Linked DNA regions of Xenopus tropicalis. The protein of the gene in region 1 interacts with the protein of each later gene in a pairwise test. Links are inferred from orthologs where the notes say so. Each region holds a gene or a part of one and is shown on either strand. Other genes may lie near its edges.

Region 1 (3,500 bases):
TGCCACAGGTTTAGTCAATTATGTAAACTAATTTTAACATAGAATTTACTGGTCACATGGTTAAAAAAGAACATTTATTTTTACTTTATTTTGACATTATTTAGGGTTTCTTATGTGAAAATTCAAGTAAAATATTTGTAAAATATTTGTGGCACATCCTTCTTTAAATGGATCACATTTTCAGATATATGTTTTAATGGAAACCCCAGTCATGTTAGAATTGTATATTCTATGTACATCACAGATCAGGGCATTATCATAGTTCATGTTAAAAATCTTTCTCAATTTAAAGAAACAGTCAGGGTATCATAGATTAATATTCAGCGACTTTTTTTACATGCTACTAGCAAGATTAGAATCCAGGAAGAACCTAACAGCATTGACTGTGGGTAAATAGAAGCAAAAGTACAACCATTCAGGAAAGCTAATTACTATTAGTACTCGGCATATCATTTGTACAGTTTGGGTGACTGTAGAAAAACCTATTATTAATCTCTTCATCAGATGTTACTAGAGCAAGAAGGTGAAAGGTACAACAATGAATAGACTTCCGTTAACACACTGTGTAACCAGAATGGAATATAGGCCTTTATACAAGAGCAATGGACCAGACCCACAATATTTATATGTTCCTATAGCCTTTTAAATAGTTTTACTAGTAGAAATGTTGATTTAAAATGGAGACATTTCCTTCAACCGTGAATCTATTTTAAATGTGAGATTCAATCCATTCTGCATACTGTTCCTTTGTCTTTCTTATTTTTGTTCATAATTCCTGCATAGCATTCCCTTTCATTAACCCTCACATTAATCTTTCTCTTTTCAATCTTCATCAATATTTCATCCTTTACATGTGATATGGAACTTGCCTTCATGGAACTGTACATGATACTACAGTGATATTAATGGCTGCAAGTGATCAATTACAAAGTATTTCAGAGTATAAACACTTACACTGGTCCCTAGAGATAAACTGAGGTACGCTGTTCAGCTGAGGTGTGCTGGGATTTGGGGTGCCTACAAGCTTGCTCTTGGCCATCTTTGTGTTTGCCTTTGCAAACTCAAGGCGTAGCGTCTGAGGAATTTCTGGATCAAATCTGATTCCCTAAAAAACAACAAATAGTAAAACATTTTTTACTCCAAACAGAATGTTGTACATTGATCAGAGCATGATAAACAAGACATCATTGCAAATGAAAACACTTTATAGAAGAGCATACCCTGTTTATAATTAGTATTTACATTGATTTATTATTGCCAGCTGCAATCAGGTGTAAATTGGTTAGTGAAATGCTGTTAAATGGATGCAACTTGCAGTTGAGTGGGAAGAGGTACAGTAGATGAGGAGAGGGATGGAAAGAGAATTGAAAATGGCAGAGGTAGAAAAGAAATGACTTAAGTTTGGGCTGAAGTAAAACACTGTTCTAAAATAAATGAAATTCTGATTTCAACTTATTGTAATGTGTGTTTATATGTGTTACACTTACAGAAGTAGTAAATGAACATTTTCTTGACATTGAACACATTCTGGGACTTTACCCTTTGTCAGTTTAGGTTATACTCTGTGTTTCATGTGATACTTCTAGGCATAAATGTATAGATTTTTCAATTCAAGGATCCCTGCATGTCTCGTCTACAGATTTATACACTGCATCTTGGCTGCACTAATTAAACAAAACAATAAATAATAAAACTCTTACCCTTTCTTGGAAATCTGTTTAGAGGCTTACATATTAAAGAATAGCTCAAACAAGTCTTAGACTTGTGGGAACAATTTAATTACAGCAACAATAAGAAACTGTTCTTAATGGACCTTGAGGCACATTTACTAAATAATACCTTATAAGGGGATACAGAGAAATTAGGAAAACATAGCTGGAAATGTACTGTTTAGCCAATTATTGCAGGAGAAATACATAAATAACTTTAAAGAGACAACAAGTAAATGCCATTTTATTCTTATATTAAAAACATGCAAAAAAATTGGTAAAGCCTGAAAGTTAAAGCTGCCTAGAGCTACTTTAGAAAAAGTAATTTTATACTGATGTTCTGTAACTTTCACAGATTAAATTGCAACTACCATGCAGTCATTATAATAAACATCAGTGCAATCATTCAGGTCAGTGCAGGATTTCACCACCAAAGCTGTGAGACAAATCTAGATGACCCTATAGTCAGATCATAAGAGGCCCATGCAGCGCTGTCTAGGGTGGTCCTCACCCAAGGTGGGTTTCAGCATTATCAACTGACAAAAAAAGTCCCAATCGGCCGTGGATAATAATGACCATAATTCTGGCACCAGGCATGGGACAACAAGCTGCTCAGTAGACAATAACAGAGCATGAACGGCCATCTATCTATACATTAAGGGCAATTTTAAATTTTTTCCTGATTATTTGTACATAGTTAACACAACTTTTTGACCTTGGCCCTCACACTGTTTCTATCTAGCATTTATAAATGTATTTACATATATCTGTAAAACATAGGTGGAGAATAAAAAAGGTTGGTGTGACCCGGATAAAAGCACTCTGCCTGAGGCCTCATGTTTTTATATGGTCTTGTAACTCCTCAGTGACTTCTAATATTTTAATAAATTACAATAGGGGGTACATTATCCACTATACAGTATATACACACTACAACAGACAGGTATGAATTTGCCAGAGGAATTAGCCAAGTTGACCCTCTATGCTTTGTTTTGGCACACTCCTGCCCACCAGTCTTGTATACCCTAATAAGGCGACCACAGATTTGTGAAGATAGTATAGAAGAACCAATAGTCAACTCTGTAACTAAAAATTATTAAAGGTTTGTTTATTACAGGTTTACCAATACTGATCAAACTGTAGTATTTAAAATGTAATGTAATGCTTATACAACTATGCCAAATCAAGCACGATATACATAATAGTCACTTAGACAAAGAGTTAGAGCATATGCTCTTAGGAAAGGATATAAGCCCCATTTTTATTCAGAGGATCTTAATAAATGTATTCCTCTGTAATTATCCATAAAAAACACAACCACTTTTTTTTTGGTTTTGCAGTGACTGTACTTTTATGCATAAACATTCATAGGCACTAGGTATAACTAAGTAGTTTAGAGGGGATTACCTGTTCCATCTTGAAAAGCAAGGTCTGTGCCCAGTTCTCTGGGAACCTAGTAACATCCTACTCCTCTAAGGATCTACAGTAGCAGTAGCCACTAGCAGAGTCCAAAGCTTTGTCTGTTACTTTGAACTTACAGGAACTAGCTGACTCCTCAATCCCTAAATAAGGATGTATGGTTATGATGAAAGTGAAGATGATTAAGCACATGAATACAGTAAAACCACATCCCCATATATAAAGTTTTCCCACATTTTACAGTTTTTTTTCAGTATGAATTATTATTGGTTCCATCAATAACAATACACACTGCATTTCCCTGATTTTGCAATTTCACAGATTTTACACATTTTTCTGATCCCCTGTAATATATATATATAATTGGTGCTT
Region 2 (3,226 bases), on another chromosome or scaffold:
TCTTTTACTGACTTCCTTGCCTAGTATAAAGTTCCGTCCTTCCTGAGCCCTCCTTCCCTCTCCAGCTATGAAGAGTGAGTGGGCATGCTCACTGCCTCCGCTCCAATTAATATCAATCAAGCATGTGCTGTAGGCACCTCTTTACGGTCATCACAGTTAGAATGGGAACTTTGCACTTTTCAACATTGAACCTCATTTTCCTGCTCAGTTTTTCAATTTTGTCAAATTACTCTGCAAAGTGGCAGCATCCTGCGTCAATCTTATAGTTTGCATTATTTAGTACTAGGCAAAAGTTATTAAAAAAAGTTAGGCTTTTTGCTGCTCCTGGTAACTTGCAGGGCACTGCCGCCTGAGGCGAGTATCTCAAATTGCCTCATGGAAGCAGCGCCCTTGACTGCAGGTAAAAAGTTTACAATTAACTCTACAAAAGATAGCATGCTTACCTTTGTTTAATGCACTGCTGAAGATTCCTGCATGATTTCAGAGTTTCTCCTGTAAACATGTGGCATACAACAAGACTAGGACAAGAACTGATAAAGGAGATCACTGCATCAGGCTGGAACTTTCCATTGTGAGATACAATGCACAAGCGCTGTAGAGATGAACAGTGACTAAGGGCCTGAAAGAATTGACCGTTTGCAGAAAAATATGGTTGCTCCAATCTAACACAGAAATAAAAAACAAAAATTACAGACTCAGACTTTCAGACTCAAATACATGCATCAAATATTTAAGCATTCTACTAAAGGGGTAAAACATTCATAAAAATGTTTTTTTTCTAACTATTTTGTTTGCCCTAAATAGTGAGAAGCCTATCCTTCCCTAAGTCCCTAAAACTTATACTGAACCAGTTTAGTAAAAACTAAACACACATTTGCACGCAATGTTTAGATCACAAGCAATACTCAATTTACAGCTATCACACAACTAACAGAAAACAAAAAAGGAGTTTACAAACTCACAAACATGTATTATGTTATTGAATGGCCAATTCTAAAAAAAAAAACTTTTCAGTTGGTCTTCATTTTTTATAATTTCTGAATTATTTGCCCTCTTTATCTTAGTCTTTCCAACTTTCAAATGGGGTCACTGACCCCATCAACAGAAAAATATTGCTCTGTGAGGTTACAATTTTATTGTTATTGTAATCTGGATCAACTAGAAGTTAGGCAGGTTATATATAGGCATTATGGTTGAATGTGATGGATGGATGGATGTCTTTTTTCAACCTAACTTACTATGTTACTATGTATTGTTACTTTTTATTACTTATGTTTCTATTTAGATCCTCTTCTATTCACCACTCCCTGGTTGCTAAAGTAATTTGAACCCTAGCAACCAGATAAGTGAATTAATTGAAAAAACACAAATAAAGAATGAAGAGTAACTGGAAATTGTATTAGAATACTACTCTCTACATCAGTAATCCCCAAACAGTGGCTCGCAAGCAACATATTGCTCACCAACCCCTTCATGTTGCTCCCATGGCCTCAAAGCAGGTGCTATTTTTCAATTCCTGGCTTAAAGGCATGTTTTGGTTGCATTAAATCCAGAAGTACTGCCAAACATGTAGGCTGCCAGTCCAGATAGGGGCTACCAAAAAGCCAATAATAGCCCTTATTTGGGAACGCCAGGATTGTGGCTCACAAGTAAAAAAAAAAAGGTTGGGGACCTTTGCTCTACATTATACCAAAAGTTAACTCAATGGGTAAACAACCCATTTAAAGTGCAGCTTATCCAAAGTCTGAGTATCCCGCCCAATAAGTTAATGTGGATAGCGATTTAATTATTACAGTACAGTAAAGACCGATAAGAAGATGAAAAGATCTGAAAAACCACAGGCATATTTTAAGGAAGATGCCTGAAGTGAAGGTATTGGTAATATCCAGAAATACCCAGTAAGTTATCTACACAATTTGCAGGAAAAGCTAGCTGTCAGTTCTTTAAAGATACTAAAGCATTACTTGGTTTGGAGAGGCAAAGGACATTTTTTGATGATGAAATTACATAGCTTGTAGGGAAACAGGAGATAAACAGAATAAGCTGGTTTAAGCACCCACAACCAAGTCACAAGTCAACAATGATCTAGTGGTTCTAAATGGGTTGTATACAAATAAATTAACTTACAAAAGGTGTCTTTTTATTATTTTAACTTTTAAACATAACATACAAAAGTGTGGCAGACCAATTTGTACATTATTATTGTAAGGCAGGGGCAACATTTTAACTATAACATAGACAATGATATTCTGAGACAACATGCAATTAGTTTTTTTTACACACATTTAGCTATATACTGTATATATATACTTTAGTTAAACGTTACAGTGATAATGGTCCTCCTATTAGCACGTTTAGTAAAGTTCATTTTATCCTGCATGCTTTTAGTTGACGGACCATTTGTCATCTCTGCACTTCTCTGGTCTAATCATATATGGTCCTTTACTATCCTTATTGGCACATTTAGTCAGAGGCACTGATATTTCTATTGCCTGCTAAAAACTTACTGCTGAAAAAAGATTTTAGCAATTATTATTTCATAGAGAAATACATTTTTGTGGTATTCATGCGAATATCCACTGTATTCTTTTCTGTCAAACAAAAGCAGCTTTGTATTGCTTTATGGAAGCGATTCTAAATATACACTACACACACTGGCTCAAAAGACAAAGGATCAATAACCCTTTCTCTGAATAACACATTACTCATTACTATACTGTTCCTTGTAATGCATGTGGAATCAGCAGATAAAGTAAGTGTGACATGAGCTTTAAAACGAGAAGACTTTCACTCAGCTGAAATGCACTCAAAAACAAAGCAAGTAAAAAAAAAAACTTCTGAAAACCATGTGTGAAAATTAGATGGCTTTTTCCCACACAATTTTTATATTTTCAGTTGAAATTAGCTACGTGGAATAATTCAAATTTGTCACCAACTCACAGCATGATTGTGTAGTCAGAAAAAAATTGGGTTAATAATTGTTAAATATATAAAATAAAAAAAATATGAACTTGTTTGTGAAACACTTAAAACATTTATTAATGGATTAGTTAGTGGATTTCTAGAAAAGCAGAAATTCCCCTTTATTTTATATACTTTTGCCCAATTATAGTAACATAGGTTGGAAAAATGCAATTTTCATTTCAATCATGTGTCAGTGTGGAGTTTGGTGAACGCTGCACCTGAGACCAGAACAAGAGTGAGGAGTCTGCAATTAGTGGGCGAG
Region 3 (3,500 bases), on another chromosome or scaffold:
GCTCCTGGGATACCTTTAAACCTTTGGGGGAGGGACTATCTGATCTAGGGGCGGGGGCAGGGGGTGCCCCTAGGTGTAATGCTGATATGGGGAGTGGCCAGGAAAAGTATTTATAAAGCACTAACATATTCTGCAGTGCTGTACAATGCAAGGGTGTGTTCATCAAGCATTCATATTACATAAAAAATGCTGACAGATACAGGTGGTTAATAGGGTCCGGCTCATTAGAGCTTACGTTCTAAAGCGGCATTGCTGTGTTATATCTGGCCTGCATTGAAATACATGGGTCTACAGCTCCTCCAACTATTATTACTGTTACATTGTGTGAATATAAGTATAAAATGAAGCATTGAACTGGTCAGTAAACAGGTAATAGCTGATATTGAATATTGGTACTTTGCTGTATATTCAAAGAAAATACATCTCAAAGCAACCTAGAAATAGTTCTAATCACAGACCACAGAGGTAGATAGACCTGATTAAAAATGGACTGCAAAAGCTCTGTTCCTATCTCAAAACATAATTAAATGGGTTGCTGTAACCTCGGTATATTGCAATAAATGTTACTGATTGTAATATTTGTATATTTTCCCCTCAGCCAGATGCTTCCTCCCGAACCAGCAGCCTCAGCAGAGATCGACTTCTATCTGAATCACAACTGCCCCCTGAGAAGAGTGGCACAACCTCTGTCCCCTCCCACCTGCTTGGAAATGCTTATGCCTTTGCCATTCCACCCAGCGCTGTTGTCCAAGATGCACGCTTCCAGCCCTTAAAGTGAGCAGGCATTATGCTAGTCTTTGATGCATGTATATGTTTTGCGCTCTTAGTTAATTAAGACAAGTAGGATTCTGCAGTCTGCACATTTGGTGTGACTGGCAAACAGGCTGGTCTCTAGCTTGTTTAGTCATGTGCAACAGAGGGATGCATTTGGCGATGTATAGGATCATATGAGCCCTCAGTGGCAAAGCTGAATGTCACTTACAATGACCAGTGCTGCCATCGGCTACTAGACTTTATTCACCTTCTCTATTGATATAGGGTACCTAATATGTGATGAATTTTCTTTATACACAGAGGTATATTTATCAAAGGGTGAAATCAACCTCGCTACAGAGGAAAATATCATAGCTTTCTCTCTCTCAATGTCCCCTCTAATTTCTTCTTAAATTCAAGTATTTTGTGCGCACCACATTTTATTGTGTGTGTTGGGAACATTGTCTCTGTTCACTTCTATTGGGCATGTCCCTTTGTTAAACACTCCCCTAAAAATCTTATGCTGCCCTTGTACCATGTTTTTACATCTCCCACTGGTTGCTCAGTTGGTGGGTGTCAGGTTACTATTTCCAAGGGAAGAGGCTTAGTTAATACTAGTCTAGGTAGAAGTGGTGATGGAACCAGATGGAGAAGGAAGTAGTAGTAGTAGGCTACCATTTATATAGAAGACGTCCTGTAACAATAAATAAAGAGTTGTGCCAATGAGCTATAAAACCACCCAAAATTCTTAGTGGAATCTGAGGGTACCAACTCTGTGACGTTGCAGTAATAAGCTAAGTATCTGGTAATTCTGTGAATAAATTCCCTATTACCGTTACTCTATTATTAGCAAGAAAATGGCATTGAAAAAAGCAGGATTAATAGTTTCCTTTTAATTCCAGCTTGCAGCGGCCAGTACCTCATGTGGTCCCTCAAAGTGCAGTCACTGAGGAATATCTGCGCAGTTTCCGCCCATACCACACAGCTGAAGATCTGCGTATGCCCTCACTGCCCCACATTGGCCTGGATCCCGCAACTGCAGCAGCATATTATCATCCCAGTTATCTGGCCCACCACACTTTTCCTCACCCAGCATTTAGGTAATTAAAAGTATTTTTTAAATAAGAAAACTTATTGGAGCTCTCCAGCCACTATGAAAGGATCCCATTTTCTTGCTCTGTCATTCTAGGATGGATGATTCCTACTGCTTGTCTGCCCTGAGGTCCCCATTTTATCCTCTTCACAACCCTGGATCTCTCCCACCCTTGCACCCATCTATGCACCTTCACCTCCGATATCCCACAGAGCTTACACATTCATCATTGTCTGCACTGCAGTCAGAACGTATCCAGAGCCTTACAGCAGAGAGGTAAGAGAATAAATGGCACAGTGCCCCAAATGATGATAGCATCCTTTTTTTTTTTTTTTTTTTTTTTTTTTTTTTTTTACTTTTGGTAACAAAGATAAATGCTCTTGCTGGCTTGTTTTGTGATTATGGCACTGTATTACATTCAAATATATATATATATGCAAAATGCAGGTGCTCCCCTTGAAACCTTTTAACTTAAAAACACATCATTTTACATGGATTAAATAATAATATTATATATATATATTATATATATTGTTTGGTTTGTCCCTGAGGAAGAGCACAGTTGGTGCTCGAAACGTTGGATCGTTTTCATTAAAGAAATTTTTTGTTTTCTAAAAAAGTCCCTGCGTGTGCGGCTCATTGTCTTGCTATATATATATATATATATATAATATTATTATTTAATCCATGTAAAATTATGTGTTTTTAAGTTAAAAGGTTTCAAGGGGAGCAGCTGCATTTTGGTGAGGCAATATATAAACTATGATTGCTTTTGTAGGCTTCAAATGGATGAAGAACTAAGGCAGCGGGAAAGAGAGAGGGAGAGGGAGCGCGAGCGGGAGCGAGAAAAAGAGAGAGAAGCTGACCGGGAGAGAGAAAAAGAACGGGAACGCGAGAGGGAAAGGGAGCGGGAGAAGAAAGAAATGGAGCGAGAGAAGGAACGCGAGAGAGAGAGAGAAATGGAGAGACAACGAGAAAGGACTAGAGAGAAGGAAGCCAACCTTATAAAAAGTATAGAGAACCAATTTCTGCCTGAATCAGAGGTCCATCCACTCAGGGGTCATCAAGAAGAGCGTGCAAAACCTGCTGAACAGCCCACTCCAAATAGACATGGTAGGTTCCCAGCTCCAACAGGATACAGTCAACACTGAGCCATTTTCACTTTTAATTTCACTACAAAGCTATACATTGTAATGCATTTTGCCATGCAAGCTTTAACTATACAAGTGTACTTACAGTTTAGTTATGTTTGTGTGGAGGCACTTAGTGTTCCCCTTTTTGTCCTAAGGTGGTCTTCTGTATAGCTTAAAGGTCAACGCTATTATTTATTTTTTTTTAACTTCTGCAGAGAAGCTGAAGGAATCCTCTCTCTCATCTTCTAAGCTTATCCAGCTCCCAATACAACAGCCCCAGGCCACACAGCATTCTGTGCCCAGCCTCATTTCCAATCATGCTACCTTCACTCCACCTGGCAACAGTGCAGCAGCCTCTCTTCTGGCACAGAGGACACAGGAAGAGGAAAAGTGGTTAGCTAGGCAGCGACGTCTCAGACAGGAGAAAGAAGACCGCCAATACCAAGTCTCAGAATTTCGTCAGCAAGTACTGGAGCAGCAGTTGGATATTGGAGGTCGACCTATTAGCCAGCTGGAGACTG
Region 4 (3,500 bases), on another chromosome or scaffold:
TTTCATGGTTACTAAAACACCAGAAAATATCCTGCCATAGACAATACTGAGAATTGCCTCTACTAAAACACATGTAGAGACAATTATCAGCATTGTCTTTTTTAGTAGCCACGACAAGTAGCTGCTACTAGTAGCTCTGTGTGTCTTCACCCTTAGGGCAGTGGCACATGGGGAGATTAGTCGCCCCACAACAAATCTTTGACGCTGCGATGTCCCAAAGTTGCCCGGAGTTTCCTCTCAAGACAACTTTGGCCGACTTCGGGATATCGCAGCGACACGTATGCCATCCCACCGCCGATTTACATTCCAGCCAGTGGGATGGCGTTGCGGGGAGATTAGTCGACTAAAGCAAAGCGACTAATTCTCCTGATTGCCCCTATCTGCCTCATTTTCAAGGAGAGGCGCTAACATTTTGCACTGGACGCTATTATGCCAGTATATTCAGAAAAGGACGTCAGTGTAGATACATACGTTATGACTATTCTTGCTTTATTCAAGACTATTGCACTATTTTGGGATTCTGCCGAATCCTAATTTGCAGGGGTTAAAGAAAACTGTGTGCACAGAAAAAAAAAATTCAACATCTGTGTTAAAGGATTTGAATTCAGTTCGGCTAGGCACTTGGATTTGGTAGAATGTGAATCCTGCTGAAAAAGGCCAAATCCTGGATTCCTAAAAACTATAGGCAAAGAGTAATCTCAGCACAAGCCCTACTCACTGCACTCATGTTGAACCAACAGGGGGAATACTGCCCCTTTAACAAAGCAGCTTCCCTAACCACAACCCCCTCCCAGCGCCCTGTCTGAGGTTGAGGAATTGAGGCAACAATGATTATTTACAGATGCAGGATGGATGTCCGTATAACAAACAATGGTTTGCTAATGAATAATGCATTATGATAAAAAAGATGCACAAAATGACTCCTCTAATTCACAATATTTCCCCCCAGAGGGGTTTACTTATTTGTAACACATCCAAGCTGGAAATCTTCTCTCACAATTTACATTTCACAGCAGAAGTTTCTCTGTTCTTGGCAGAAGACTGGCTGCGGCACAGCTTTTATCTAGATAAAACTAAATATAGCGAAGCTGAAGGGAGGAAACCTGAACTAGGTTTATCTTGGATTTCAATGGAAATAATATAATCTTTGCCAGGAAAGTGCCCATGCTTTGTAGAATCATATAGTAGCTCAGGGTCCTGGTGGGAGGTGGGGGGGCCCCTAAGGCCTCTGCACCCCCCAGTCCGACCCTGTAGTAGCTTGGACTTACTATGTAGATTGGGCACAGAGAGTAGAACATATTTTACTATTTATAAAGCATAAGTTAAAAATTATTAAAAAAAAAAAAAAAAGTCTAAAATATGAAATATTCACATATGTAATGGCAAAAGGTTACTTTATTTCAGTTTTTATTAACAAAATAACTTAAAATCCACTGAAACTCTATGATGAATGCATAACTGAAAGTTGCTTACAGTGATATTTTCTATTATTATGCAAAAAAGTTTGTGGTCCCAAAATAATGGAATGATATGTGTCTACAGCTCATTGAAGTCAATGCAACACACTGTTTATAGCCAGTAGAGCCGGGCCAAGTAGTACAGGTATGAGACCCGCTATCCAGAAAGATTTGAATTACAGGAAGACCATCTTCTAAACACTCTTTTTTAATCAAATAATTCACATTTTAAAAAATGATTTCCTTTTTCTCTGTAATAAGAAGATAGAATTCTGTACAACAGGTCCCATACCTGTATTGAAGCCCAAGGCAATAGCCCTGCACCCACAAGCCCACACATACGCCTACCCTCTGGCATGTGTCTGTCCTGTCTATCCCTAGCTCCAGCCCTGTCTATCCCTAGCTCCAGCCCTGTCTATCCCTAGCTCCAGCCCTGTCTATCCCTAGCTCCAGCCCTGTCTATCCCTAGCTCCAGCCCTGTCTATCCCTAGCTCCAGCCCTGTCTATCCCTAGCTCCAGCCCTGTCTATCCCTAGCTCCAGCCCTGTCTATCCCTAGCTCCAGCACTGATTACCAGGATCATCTGTGAAGCTCTGGGAAGCCTGAAATGACTTGCACGAGCCTGCCACTATGTTTAACTCAGTTAATAAATTATATGCATCACATACTGACAGAGGTGAAATAAAACTGCCTTGAGGATACCTCCTATAAACTATTGATTTAGCACAAGACCATCATCATGTGCATATTCTATGCCTATAATACTATAACACTGTAATCTAAAAACATCTGGTAGCAAATGTTAGACAGGGTTAGCAGACTAATGGGGCCATGTAATAAAAGATGTTAAGTTTGCCAGGTCCAATAACCCATAACAACCAGTCAGCATTTTATTGGTTGCTATGGGTTACTGCTCATTGGCAAACTTAGTGCCTGTTATTACATATAGGAGTTAATATGGCAACAGTTACAAATGTAACTGATTAATGAAAGTATTACATAAAAACATTTTGTCTTATTTTATTTTTTTACCTACCTGATGTGTAATTTGGTGTAGTTTGATGTGTAACTTTTTCCCAAACCAAACAGGATCCAGATTTCTGCCTCAGCTGGACGTGCCTAATCCTTCCCACGAGTTTATGATTTATTCAACAAAGCTTAAGCCCACAGGCTGGTGGAAAAGCCAATGTCTCCAAACTGAGGTGGCCATTTCGTACTTATAATGCTTCAAGGTTTTTGGTTTTTTTTTTAAATATGTAATGTGGGTTAAAATAAAAAAACAATATATTATAAAATGTAATTTTTTTAAAAATTGCCATTGAGGTAGATGAGGTTTAGTTCTTTGTATTTTTTCAGTCTATACTACACAGAACTTTCATCCAATTTTTCAACCAGTTGTGTATGTTTCCTCTTCTCAAGGATCTTGCTGAGCTCCTCTGTAAAAGAATTGTATGAGGGTAGGCTGGACTCCTCATTCTGTCTAAGAAGCATATAACTGTTGCCATTCATTTTCCTAAGCATGTTGGGTAGAGTGCTTATTCCATTGGTGAACTCCGAGGGCAATGGAGGTGGTGGAGGTGGGGGCGGAGGCATGTCTTTGTGGGGAGACAGTGTGGGTGCCTCTCCAGGGATGATCTGCAGGCACCCATCAGAATAACTGTTCAAGTCCTCTGCCTTTTCTTTAAACTGAGATGATACAGTCTGAAGCTCAACATTTGTGGAGCGAGAGTTTCTCACAGCATACTTACCCTTCTTTTTCTGCTGGCAAGACACATATAACAAAACAATAGAGAGGACGACGCACAGAACACCGAGAATGGTGATTGTGGAAATGTAGATGAATTGAATATTACCAGTAGACTGAGGGGCAGCTGTTGGCAGTTGGATTATCGGTGTTGGCGTGGAATAGTTCTTCTCTTTTGGAAGCTCCAAGAGGACATTTAGAGAATACACTGCTACCAAAGACTGCAATCCGTTCTCTTCTGAGTAACAGCTGTACTCGCCACTGTGCTCCGGGAGAGTGTCGGTAATTAAAAGACCATCG
Region 5 (2,624 bases), on another chromosome or scaffold:
CCCTGCATGTGTATATAAGTTCTCATTAGTCCGCTACCCCCTATTCGGGTTCAAGTACATTAGGAAGATTAATCATTAAGCAGATAGTTTAGATGGTAGACTCATTGTTCTAGTTTACAGTGAAGCCAAGATTAAAAAGGCACAGTGCCAAGCAATTTCTACCCCCAGTAAAGTAAAATATTTAGCCACAGAGAAGAAAAATGTCTTCCTGTCTGAAGATAACATGCTCAGATTTTGTCTGGTAGTTTTGTCCAATTTATATCACACTGCCCAACCATTGGGGTAATTTCAACAGTTAATTCTGCAATCCTGATGGATAGAGGATTATCTGGCCTGCCAGGAAATTTCCATTGGTCAGGTAGGATGTGGGGCTAAAGTTTCTTTTCACTACCTTTTCTTCTGACGGTTTGGGCAATGAGCCCAAATGGAATGGAAAAGTGGCCATACACATATCTAGCCACTTTTACAGTATACATCTGTTCAGGAGGGAGTGCTTGCCAGAACAAGAAAGGGGTACATTGAAACATGCAATGGCTAAAGTTGTAGGTCTAGCAAAACCAGCAGCTGAGCCTGCATCAATGTTTAAACACTAACCAGCAGGTATTAGATATGCCCTTGTATCACTATACTGTATAGATCAGCCTATGTATGGCCACCTTTAGGGCTCTGGCACACGGGGAGATTAGTCGCCCGCGACAAATCTCCCTGTTCGCAGGCGACTAATCTCCCCGAAATGCCATCCCACCTTGAGAGGAAACTTCCGCAATTTCCCTGAAATCGCGGCACCGCGTTTGCCATCCCACCAGCGATTTACATTTTCGCCGGTGAGATGGCATTTCGGGGAGATAAGTCACCCATGAACAGAGAGATTTGTCACGGGCGACTAATCTCCCCGTGTGCCGGAGCCCTTACAGGGCAAGCATATTTCTACCTGGATCAGTAACCTTGGACACATTCATTAGTTGAACACGATTTAGTAATAACTTTAATGACCTTATTATACAAATAGTAACTTATTCTATCTTGTTTGCAGAAAGCAGAAAAGAAATAACAACAGATACTTGGCCACAGAATGCTGGAGAGAAAGTGATGAAGGAGGAAATCATCTCTAATCCCCCATACCTTGAAAGCAAACCTGGTGCCCAGTCTCTCCCCCAACAGGGACCTGTTACTATAATGGAGAGCATTGTTATGTCCTAATAACAGCAGATTTCCGCCCAATGCCATACCTCCGTGCCATTATTATTATTTTTTTTTTTAAAGATAAAGTGCCCAAGCATTTTCTGGTCCTCGCTTGCTGGCCAGAGGGCTCCTCACTTTGCCGAGCTGCCAACAAGTTCAAGCAGGAAGAACAGTGACCAATTATTTCTCTCCCAGGAAGCAGCCTTGCAGGCACACAAGGGGCTAAGAAGACGTGCCACTGAGCTGTAAAGAAGAAACCGCAAGGTGTGAAGGTGTAGGGTTAATATTTTATAGAAGTTATAGACAATTGTTCTATGTTTATTTTGTATTAAGCAAATCAAGGACTTGGGATTGAGGTAATTGTAAGTATATACACATTATCCCAGTCATTGCACTAATCTTTGTAGTCTGTGTGCACCGACTGTGCCATGATTTCTAGTCAGGCCAGTTGCTGAAGTGACTGACCTGTATAAAACCTCCGTTTATTACAGCATTTATAAGAATGTAGCAAGCATAGTCAGCGTAAGCATTCCTTAACCTACACTGAGCATGATCACTTCATTTTGGATGTTTGTTCTATGCCAAGCTTGTAAATGGCTGCACTGCTGGGTACACAGACTATCGTATTTGGTGCCATACTTCCAGGGCTCAATGCAGGCAGTCTGTCCTCTCTTCTACTGTGAATACACCGAAGCTGGTCCATGTCTTTTTATACAAAGGATAGCACTGCTACTTTTTCCGGCTGTCTCCATAGCCCTTCCAGTACCATGGAGCAGACTAAGCATGTTCTTATGATACACAGCATTCTTGTCAAGGGTACGACATAGCGCTCCTCATTTTTAATACTAATCCATTTTACATCAACCAGGGGAAATCGCTCACCTCCTCCAACTAAACAGCTATGTTTGGATTTATTGAAAAATACAATGTTATATACACACACGTGCAGCCTTGCTGGTTTTCTTCACATTTTAACATTGGGAAATGCAACTGTTACAGACCTAAAACTAACAGCATGTCCTTAGTGAGATGATTATCCGGATCTGGAATAATGGGATAAAACCTTGGCCTCTATGCATTAGCCTCAGTATTAGCTGGAGCCATTCCTCCAGGTAAGTATATCAGAGCTGCTTCCAAGCACTTATATACAGGGGTTCCTTCTACAAACTGCTCTCCCTTCACTGTTCTGGAGAGGGCAGGTGGCGAAAACAGCGACTGTATAGCTGGTTTCCTGAGATACCTGCTGTCAGACAAGTACCTAAGGCCAGAAACTCATGGGAATGCCCAGTGAGACTTACTCTGACAACAGGCTATTTGAGAAGATTTATAGAATTTTTAGGCAATTTTTAAATAAAGGTTTAATTCTTCTTGTAATATATAATACTTAGGATGAGCAAATGACTTGTAGAAAGGAAAAAAAATGACATGCTTTCTTAGTATCT
Region 6 (2,732 bases), on another chromosome or scaffold:
ATTCGTAGCCTTGTGGCCCGAATGTGATCCTTGTATTAACTGCAAAGATGACACGATATAGTAGTTGCGATAGTTAGGTCCTTACCAGACTGCATTCGCGTTTTAATTCATTTGGTATATTATTGATCCTGGAATGTGACTGGCGCTAATTGAGGGTTTAATATTTGTTAACTTTACGGATATACCGCTGATTTACAGCAAAACCAAGAAGGATTAATAAAAACCTTCACCAGAACTGAGGCGATGATTCCCTTAGCAGAGCGTTTCCTGGCGATACTGGTGCGACATTTCTCTAGGCGCAAGAGCCAAGCAAAGCTTTCTGTAGGCGCCAGGGCGGCCTGGGCACACAGGGCACCTTATTACTTCACTGGTTACTGTACTGGCTGATAGGGCCTGGCAGATTTCCCTGAGACCAGCTAGACAACCTGGCACTCTTGACAAACAGCGCCTAAACACACAGACTTTGCATTCACAACTAACAATAAAGCGACACCATAAACTCACTTTCATTAGTTTGATTTTTATTTGAAAGGATGGGGGGTATGTAGAAATGACTTTTCCTTACATCGATAGCCATTGTGGAGCACCAAATGTACAAACAGAATTTTCCTCACCTACACAGGGACAAACAGAGCCAAATTTTCAGTGACACAAATGCAAGTGCTGCCCGGACAGAATGTAAGAAAAGCAGGAATAGCGGTGACACTAATGGGATTGAAAGAAAGTAAATGTGAGTGACAATACACATACTGAGAGCTGTCCCGTTAAACAAACGTGGGTGCGATTTCCCAGTGACAGACAAGTGTGGACTCTACACAAAGTGCAATAAGCCAGACTCGGGCGAGCACATTCTCAGGAACACGGGGGTGCATGAAACTTCATTCTTTTTCAGTCTCCAAGACTTTGTATTTAATAAATAGAGTGGGGAAACGCCACAACATCTAATATGCAAGAGGTTTGGTCTCCAGTAAAGGGGTTATTAATGGTGGGGCTGTAGTTAGAAGTCCGGAAATCAAACCAATAATATAAACTAAAAATAAAGGGTCCTACAAACGGACCTAAATAAATATGTACATATTCCAGCCGCCTGGGCAGCAAGAAGCTAAATGAGTCCTACATCATATAAACCTCAGGGGAAGGGCTCTATACAGACTGGGCACAACACACCTGCCCCTTGCACTTTATAGAATGAGAAACTTTGGGTTAAAACATTAGATTAGCCACAGGTCCCAGGGCTGTACTGAGAGCACATCAAAGGCAGACATTTGTCCAAATCCCAGGTCCAGACAGTGAATAAATAAAACCACTAAATGGTGAAGAACACTGGTGGGATATCTATCCATTTTGTACAGGCACAGTTAATTCATATATTCAGAATTCTAGCCCACAAGCAGATTAAAAAATATATATATTGTTCATTCATGTCCTTCACTCCAGCTGGAGGCAAGCCTGGCACAGCACTTCCACATATACTTTATTCATATATTTATATATATATATATATTTAAGAGGATGGCAGGCAGAAATGGTCTCTGATTGCTCACAAGACCTGGAACCTCCAGGAGGACTGATCTTTGTAGTCCAGACAGTCGGTGGAATTAAAGTTGAGTTTCCAAGAAGACGCTGCGGCTTGTTCCTTATAGTCCAGACAGTCAGAGGAGTTAAAGGGCAAGCCTGTGCCGGTATAGCCCTGGTGATGGTGGTGGTGGTGGTGATGGCTGGAGGTCTGGCTCAGGTGGTGATGATGATGATGGTGGCCAGACATGGAGGAAGGGGCCATGGGGCTCAGCTGGTGAGGGTGATGGTGAGAATGCATTGGTGCCAGGTAAGAGCTGCAATCCACCCCGCTGAAGTAGGAGGAAGAAGGGGCAGGATAGCCCTGGGTGTAGCCGGCTGCCTGACTGTAGGACATGGGGTAGGAAGCTGCAGATGAGGAGCCAGAGCGTTGCATGCAGGAGGCGCTGCCTGTTCCCAAGGGGTCGGGGCCAGACCCAGGGCCAGTGCCCGGAGAAATGGAGGCCGGGCTCCAGATGGAGGAGGCTGTGGAGGTGCTGCCATTCAGCGGGGCTGTAGCCAGGCCGGGGTTCCCGGATGAATTGGAACTGGAAGAGGAGGACGAGGAGGAAGAGCCGGAGCTGGGCACCGCGGGGGGAGTGAACTGGCCGCTGCTCTCCGACCCCGAACTCTCTCTGGCCGGGCTGCACTTCTTCTTGGCCGGTCTGCTCTTCACTCCCGCCCCGCTGCTGCTCTGCTGTTGCTGCTGCTGCTGCCGACACTTGGCTCTGCGGTTCTTAAACCAGACCTGCAGGAAAGGCAAAAGGGAGCGGATTAGGCCAATGTACTGCAAGGTGGCCAGCCACACGGCCCAGCACCTAACTGCATGGCGGCCAGCCACACGGCCCAGCACCTAACTGCATGGCGGCCAGCCACACTGCCCAGCTCTAATCACCAATATACACAATACTGTATATCTAGTATAAATAAATTTGAAGCAACTGGACTTGTTTAGTAATCATTGAAGACGTTTCACTACTCATCCGAGCAGCTTCTTCAGTTGAACTGAAGAAGCTGCTCGGATGAGTAGTGAAACGTCTTCAATGATTACTAAACAAGTCCAGTTGCTTCAAATTTATTTATACTAGATATACCATGACCTGCATGAATGAAAATCTACATAGACACACAATACTGCAGTCATTTGTACTTATTTCCTAAATTTGACTCTAGCCCTA
Region 7 (4,155 bases), on another chromosome or scaffold:
AGAGAGGCGCATATAGTAAGGTAAGGAGCAGAGAGGCGCATATAGTAAGGCAAGGAGCAGAGAGGCGCATATAGTAAGGCAAGGAGCAGAGAGGCGCATATAGTAAGGCAAGGAGCAGAGAGGCGCATATAGTAAGGTAAGGAGCAGAGAGGCGCATATAGTAAGGTAAGGAGCAGAGAGGGGCATATAGTAAGGTAAGGAGCAGAGAGGCGCATATAGTAAGGTAAGGAGCAGAGAGGGGCATATAGTAAGGCAAGGAGCAGAGAGGCGCATATAGTAAGGCAAGGAGCAGAGAGGCGCATATAGTAAGGTAAGGAGCAGAGAGGCGCATATAGTAAGGTAAGGAGCAGAGAGGGGCATATAGTAAGGTAAGGAGCAGAGAGGCGCATATAGTAAGGTAAGGAGAAATACTATTTGCTAAACCCCCAAAATAATTTTTAGTAAAGTCCCTCCCAGCACCCCCAGCATTACTACTGATACACATACCTCCACCATGATTATTCTATGAAGCCCTACAGGAGGCCCAGGAGCCATTTATGGCCCTAATGTGCAGCTGCGGCCTCCATGATGATGTTCTGGAACCCAGAACTATTGCTATTGTATCCGCACAACATCCCATAACCCCCAGGCCCCACATACAGCAGCGCTACAGTCAGTGGCTGGAGAAACCACAAGGCACACGGATCCGCACTACTCCCAGCGAGGGACATAATGCTGAATAGCCCGGGGCCACACCAGCCCCCCTGAAATCTTCCCTGTTGCCCAGCACTGCTTTACAGTACCCCCATATTATAACCCTTCATATTGGCACCCCGTGAGTATTACCTGCCCCATCAGCAATCCTTTATATTGTGTCCCATCCCAGAACCGCCATCCCAGTACCAACCAGCTACACTGTCCCCTGCCCCTACTGTACCGGCCCCCCTGCCCCTACCATCCCGCCCCTACCGACCCCCCTGCCCCTACCATACTGACCCTCTGGCCTTACCATATCGACCCCCTGCCCCTATGATACCGCCCACCCTGCCCCTACCATCCCGCCCCTACCATATCGACCCCCTGCCCCTACCATACCGACCCCCTGCCCCTACCATACCGACCCCCTGCCCCTACCATACCGACCCCCTGCCCCTACCATACCGACCCCCCTGCCCCTACCATACCGACCCCCCTGCCCCTACCATACCGACCCCCTCCCTGGCTCTACCATACTGCCCCATGATACCGAGCGCCTGGCCCTACCATACCAACCCCCTTGCCCTACCATACTGCCCCTATGATACTGACCCCATGATACCAACCCCCTGGCCCTACCATACTGCCCCCCGGCCCTACCATACTGCCCCTATGAAACCGCACCAGCCCTACCATACTGCACCCCCCGGCCCTACCATACTGCCCCTATGATACTGACGCCATGATACCAACCCCCTGGCCCCACCATAACGCCACCCTGGCACTACCATACCACCCCTATGATACCAGCCCCCCTGGCCCTACCATACCGCCCCCCCCCACTGGCCCCTACATACTATTGCCTGGCACGTCACTACTGTGAAATCATCTGCCATAACAGTATATTTCTCTCCATCACAGAGACCCTCACAAGTACCCCCCCCCATAGCAGCCCCCTTCATACAGTACTGGACAAAATACCCAATAAATAACCCATATACCAAAACATCATTGCACAAAGATAATACAGTTATGTGTGTTACTGCTAAATACACATTTGGTTTTTCCCTAAAAAAAAATCCTGGTGTCGCTGATCTTTTTGTGTATATATATATATATATATCACCCAGCACAGCGCCATACCCCCAGCCCCATGTATATCCCCCCCCCCGCCCAGTCTCCCACCCCCTGACCCATATAAATACCCCTGACACAAACCCTAATCCCCATAGGCAGTTGTTTGCCCCCCAGCAGCATATAATAAGGCCGGTACCCATCCCGGCGCTGCCTCCCCGTCACCATCATCATCCTCAGCATCAAAGCACTGCCCCCCCCCCCCTGCCTGATATCCCTCCATCAGTATTCCCCCAGCACCAACACTGCCAGCCGCCCCCCCCCTCCCACACACACACACACACATATATATATATAATAACCACACACATGAAATCATATACACATATATACATTATGTTTGTGCTTTCATGTGGCTATACACACACACACACAGCATCCCCCCCCCCAGTGTTCTTTCCCTGACACCCCCAGTATTACCCACAATGCCTGCACCTAACACACACACACACACACACACACACACACACAATAACCTTCCCCACACACAGCAGAATCCGCTCCAATCCCGGCATCCTCTCTGCCCCGGAGGTTACGGACCCCCATTATCCCGGCATGCCTCTAGCCACCAACATACCATGGGGTACAGAACTGCCCCCCCCCCCCAATTATATATAGTTGCCCCCTCCCCCCACACATCACAATCCTACCCCAGGGCTATGTTATTATGGGGCAGATACAGTAACTCCCCCCCACCCCCCTGCACCTGCCCCCCCTCTCTCCCCGCCCCCAGTTCTCCCGGGGCCCTGCTGCCCGTCTCGGCCCTACACCCCCCAAACTGACTCCCCGGCCCCCAGGCCGTGTCCCTTGCAGCCCCCCGTACTCACCGGGCCGTTCCACTCTGGCTATGCCGTTCCGTAGCGCAGGATGTCCGTGAGTCAGGCTGCACAGTCCGTCTCCTCTCTCCGGGCATTCAGAGATGCGGGGGCGGGGCTACGGCAATGGGGAGGCGGGAAGTGGCCTGTCACTGTGACATCACCTCCGCCATAACCTGGGTGGGCGGTACATTCTCTTCCGTCACTCACTGCCTGGGAGATGGGCGGGGCCGCCTTCCCTCACTCACTGCCTGGGAGATGGGCGGGGCCGCCTTCCCTCACTCACTGCCTGGGAGATGGGCGGGGCCGCCTTCCCTCACTCACTGCCTGGGAGATGGGCGGGGCTGGCTCTGACCCTATATAGGGCTCTGACTGGGCCGCCTTCCCTCACTCACTGCCTGGGAGATGGAGGGCAGTGACACTATATAGTCTGGTTTCTAGGGTAATTTGGACTGTAGCAACCATACAGCTGCATAAATTGCAAACTGGGGAGTCCCTGAATAAAAAGCTAAATAGTTAAAAAACCACAAATAATAAAAAAATGAAGACCAAGTGCTAATTGTTTCAGAATCGCCTTCCTTACTACGTACTAATAGTTAATTTAAAGGTGAACAAAACCTTTTAGGATTAACAAAGCTTTGAAAATGGCGTATTTCTCCTTTAATTCATGTCCTTATTCTATTTCAGTCAGCTTCCCCTCGATCCAATGCGAATACTGGGCCTCCCCACGTTCCCCCGGATTTGTGACTGTACGAGATTCATTTGTGCAGATGAACGTTCCATATAGAGGAGTGAGAATGGTTACATGGCGGCGGCGCGTGAGCTGTAGGGTTCCCCGCTGAGAGGTGAGGTGGATTTATTCCTGTGTAGCTGAGAGGTGAGGTGGACTTATGTATGTATGTATATAGTAACATAGTAACATAGTAAGTTGGGTTGAAAAAAGAAATACGTCCATCAAGTTCAACCATAATGCCTATACCTAACCTGCCTAACTACTAGTTGATCCAGAGGAAGGCAAAAAACCCCATCTGAAGCCTCTCTAATTTGCCGCAGAGGGGAAAAAATTCCTTCCTGACTCCAAGATGGCAATCGGACCAGTCCCTGGATCAACTAGTACTGAGAGCTATCTCCCATAACCCTTTATTTATAATTGCTACTTATGTACGCAGCGCTGTACAGTAGAATACATTAATACAAACAGGGGGTTAATAAGATAATAGATAAATACAAAGTATAATAATAAATACAGATAAATACATCAGCAATAAGTTAAGAGTCGAGGACACAAGAGGATGGAGGTCCCTGCCCCGTAGAGCTTACAATCTATATGGGAGGGTAACTTACAGACACAAGTAGGCAAATATAAGTGCTGTAGGTCACAGTGGGTGACACTACAATATAAGTGCCAGTTCCCAGATTAGGTGCTGGGCGAGTGCTCCAAAAGGTAGTCTTATTCCTGTGTAGCTGAGAGGCTGCTGCGGTTTTGCCGCATTACATGGATTATCCGTATCCGGCCTGCCACGGGCACCAT

The links.
Region 2: the proteins of rbpms (region 1) and fbxl18 interact in a two-hybrid assay, tested with the Homo sapiens proteins (2 studies listed by BioGRID). The two-hybrid records come from large-scale screens. The link is inferred for Xenopus tropicalis from reciprocal best matches to the Homo sapiens genes RBPMS and FBXL18.
Region 3: the proteins of rbpms (region 1) and gse1 interact in binary tests that used the Homo sapiens proteins (3 or more experiments, as listed by UniProt). The link is inferred for Xenopus tropicalis from reciprocal best matches to the Homo sapiens genes RBPMS and GSE1.
Region 4: the proteins of rbpms (region 1) and sema4g interact in binary tests that used the Homo sapiens proteins (3 or more experiments, as listed by UniProt). The two-hybrid records come from large-scale screens. The link is inferred for Xenopus tropicalis from reciprocal best matches to the Homo sapiens genes RBPMS and SEMA4G.
Region 5: the proteins of rbpms (region 1) and cnnm3 interact in binary tests that used the Homo sapiens proteins (3 or more experiments, as listed by UniProt). The two-hybrid records come from large-scale screens. The link is inferred for Xenopus tropicalis from reciprocal best matches to the Homo sapiens genes RBPMS and CNNM3.
Region 6: the proteins of rbpms (region 1) and otx1 interact in binary tests that used the Homo sapiens proteins (3 or more experiments, as listed by UniProt). The two-hybrid records come from large-scale screens. The link is inferred for Xenopus tropicalis from reciprocal best matches to the Homo sapiens genes RBPMS and OTX1.
Region 7: the proteins of rbpms (region 1) and fam168a interact in binary tests that used the Homo sapiens proteins (3 or more experiments, as listed by UniProt). The two-hybrid records come from large-scale screens. The link is inferred for Xenopus tropicalis from reciprocal best matches to the Homo sapiens genes RBPMS and FAM168A.

The regions. Positions count from the first base shown.
Region 1 is NC_030677.2:83,887,483-83,890,982, forward strand, and holds part of rbpms (RNA-binding protein with multiple splicing), read right to left. Parts: intron 1,106-3,500; coding exon 955-1,105; intron 1-954.
Region 2 is NC_030685.2:46,838,832-46,842,057, reverse strand, and holds part of fbxl18 (F-box/LRR-repeat protein 18), read right to left. Parts: intron 663-3,226; coding exon 444-662; intron 1-443. UniProt on the Homo sapiens protein: Substrate-recognition component of the SCF (SKP1-CUL1-F-box protein)-type E3 ubiquitin ligase complex.
Region 3 is NC_030680.2:64,870,816-64,874,315, reverse strand, and holds part of gse1 (genetic suppressor element 1), read left to right. Parts: intron 1-598; coding exon 599-774; intron 775-1,655; coding exon 1,656-1,853; intron 1,854-1,942; coding exon 1,943-2,122; intron 2,123-2,624; coding exon 2,625-2,959; intron 2,960-3,194; coding exon 3,195-3,500.
Region 4 is NC_030683.2:29,615,179-29,618,678, reverse strand, and holds part of sema4g (semaphorin-4G), read right to left. Parts: coding exon 2,819-3,500; 3' UTR 2,493-2,818; intron 1-2,492. UniProt on the Homo sapiens protein: Cell surface receptor for PLXNB2. May play a role in axon guidance.
Region 5 is NC_030679.2:125,271,144-125,273,767, forward strand, and holds the end of cnnm3 (metal transporter CNNM3), read left to right. Parts: intron 1-958; exon of another isoform or gene 959-1,033; coding exon 1,034-1,200; 3' UTR 1,201-2,124; downstream 2,125-2,624. UniProt on the Homo sapiens protein: Probable metal transporter.
Region 6 is NC_030681.2:32,910,940-32,913,671, forward strand, and holds the end of otx1 (homeobox protein OTX1), read right to left. Parts: intron 2,303-2,732; coding exon 1,541-2,302; 3' UTR 501-1,540; downstream 1-500. UniProt on the Homo sapiens protein: Probably plays a role in the development of the brain and the sense organs. Can bind to the BCD target sequence (BTS): 5'-TCTAATCCC-3'.
Region 7 is NC_030678.2:173,972,403-173,976,557, forward strand, and holds the start of fam168a (protein FAM168A), read right to left. Parts: upstream 2,801-4,155; 5' UTR 2,637-2,800; intron 1-2,636.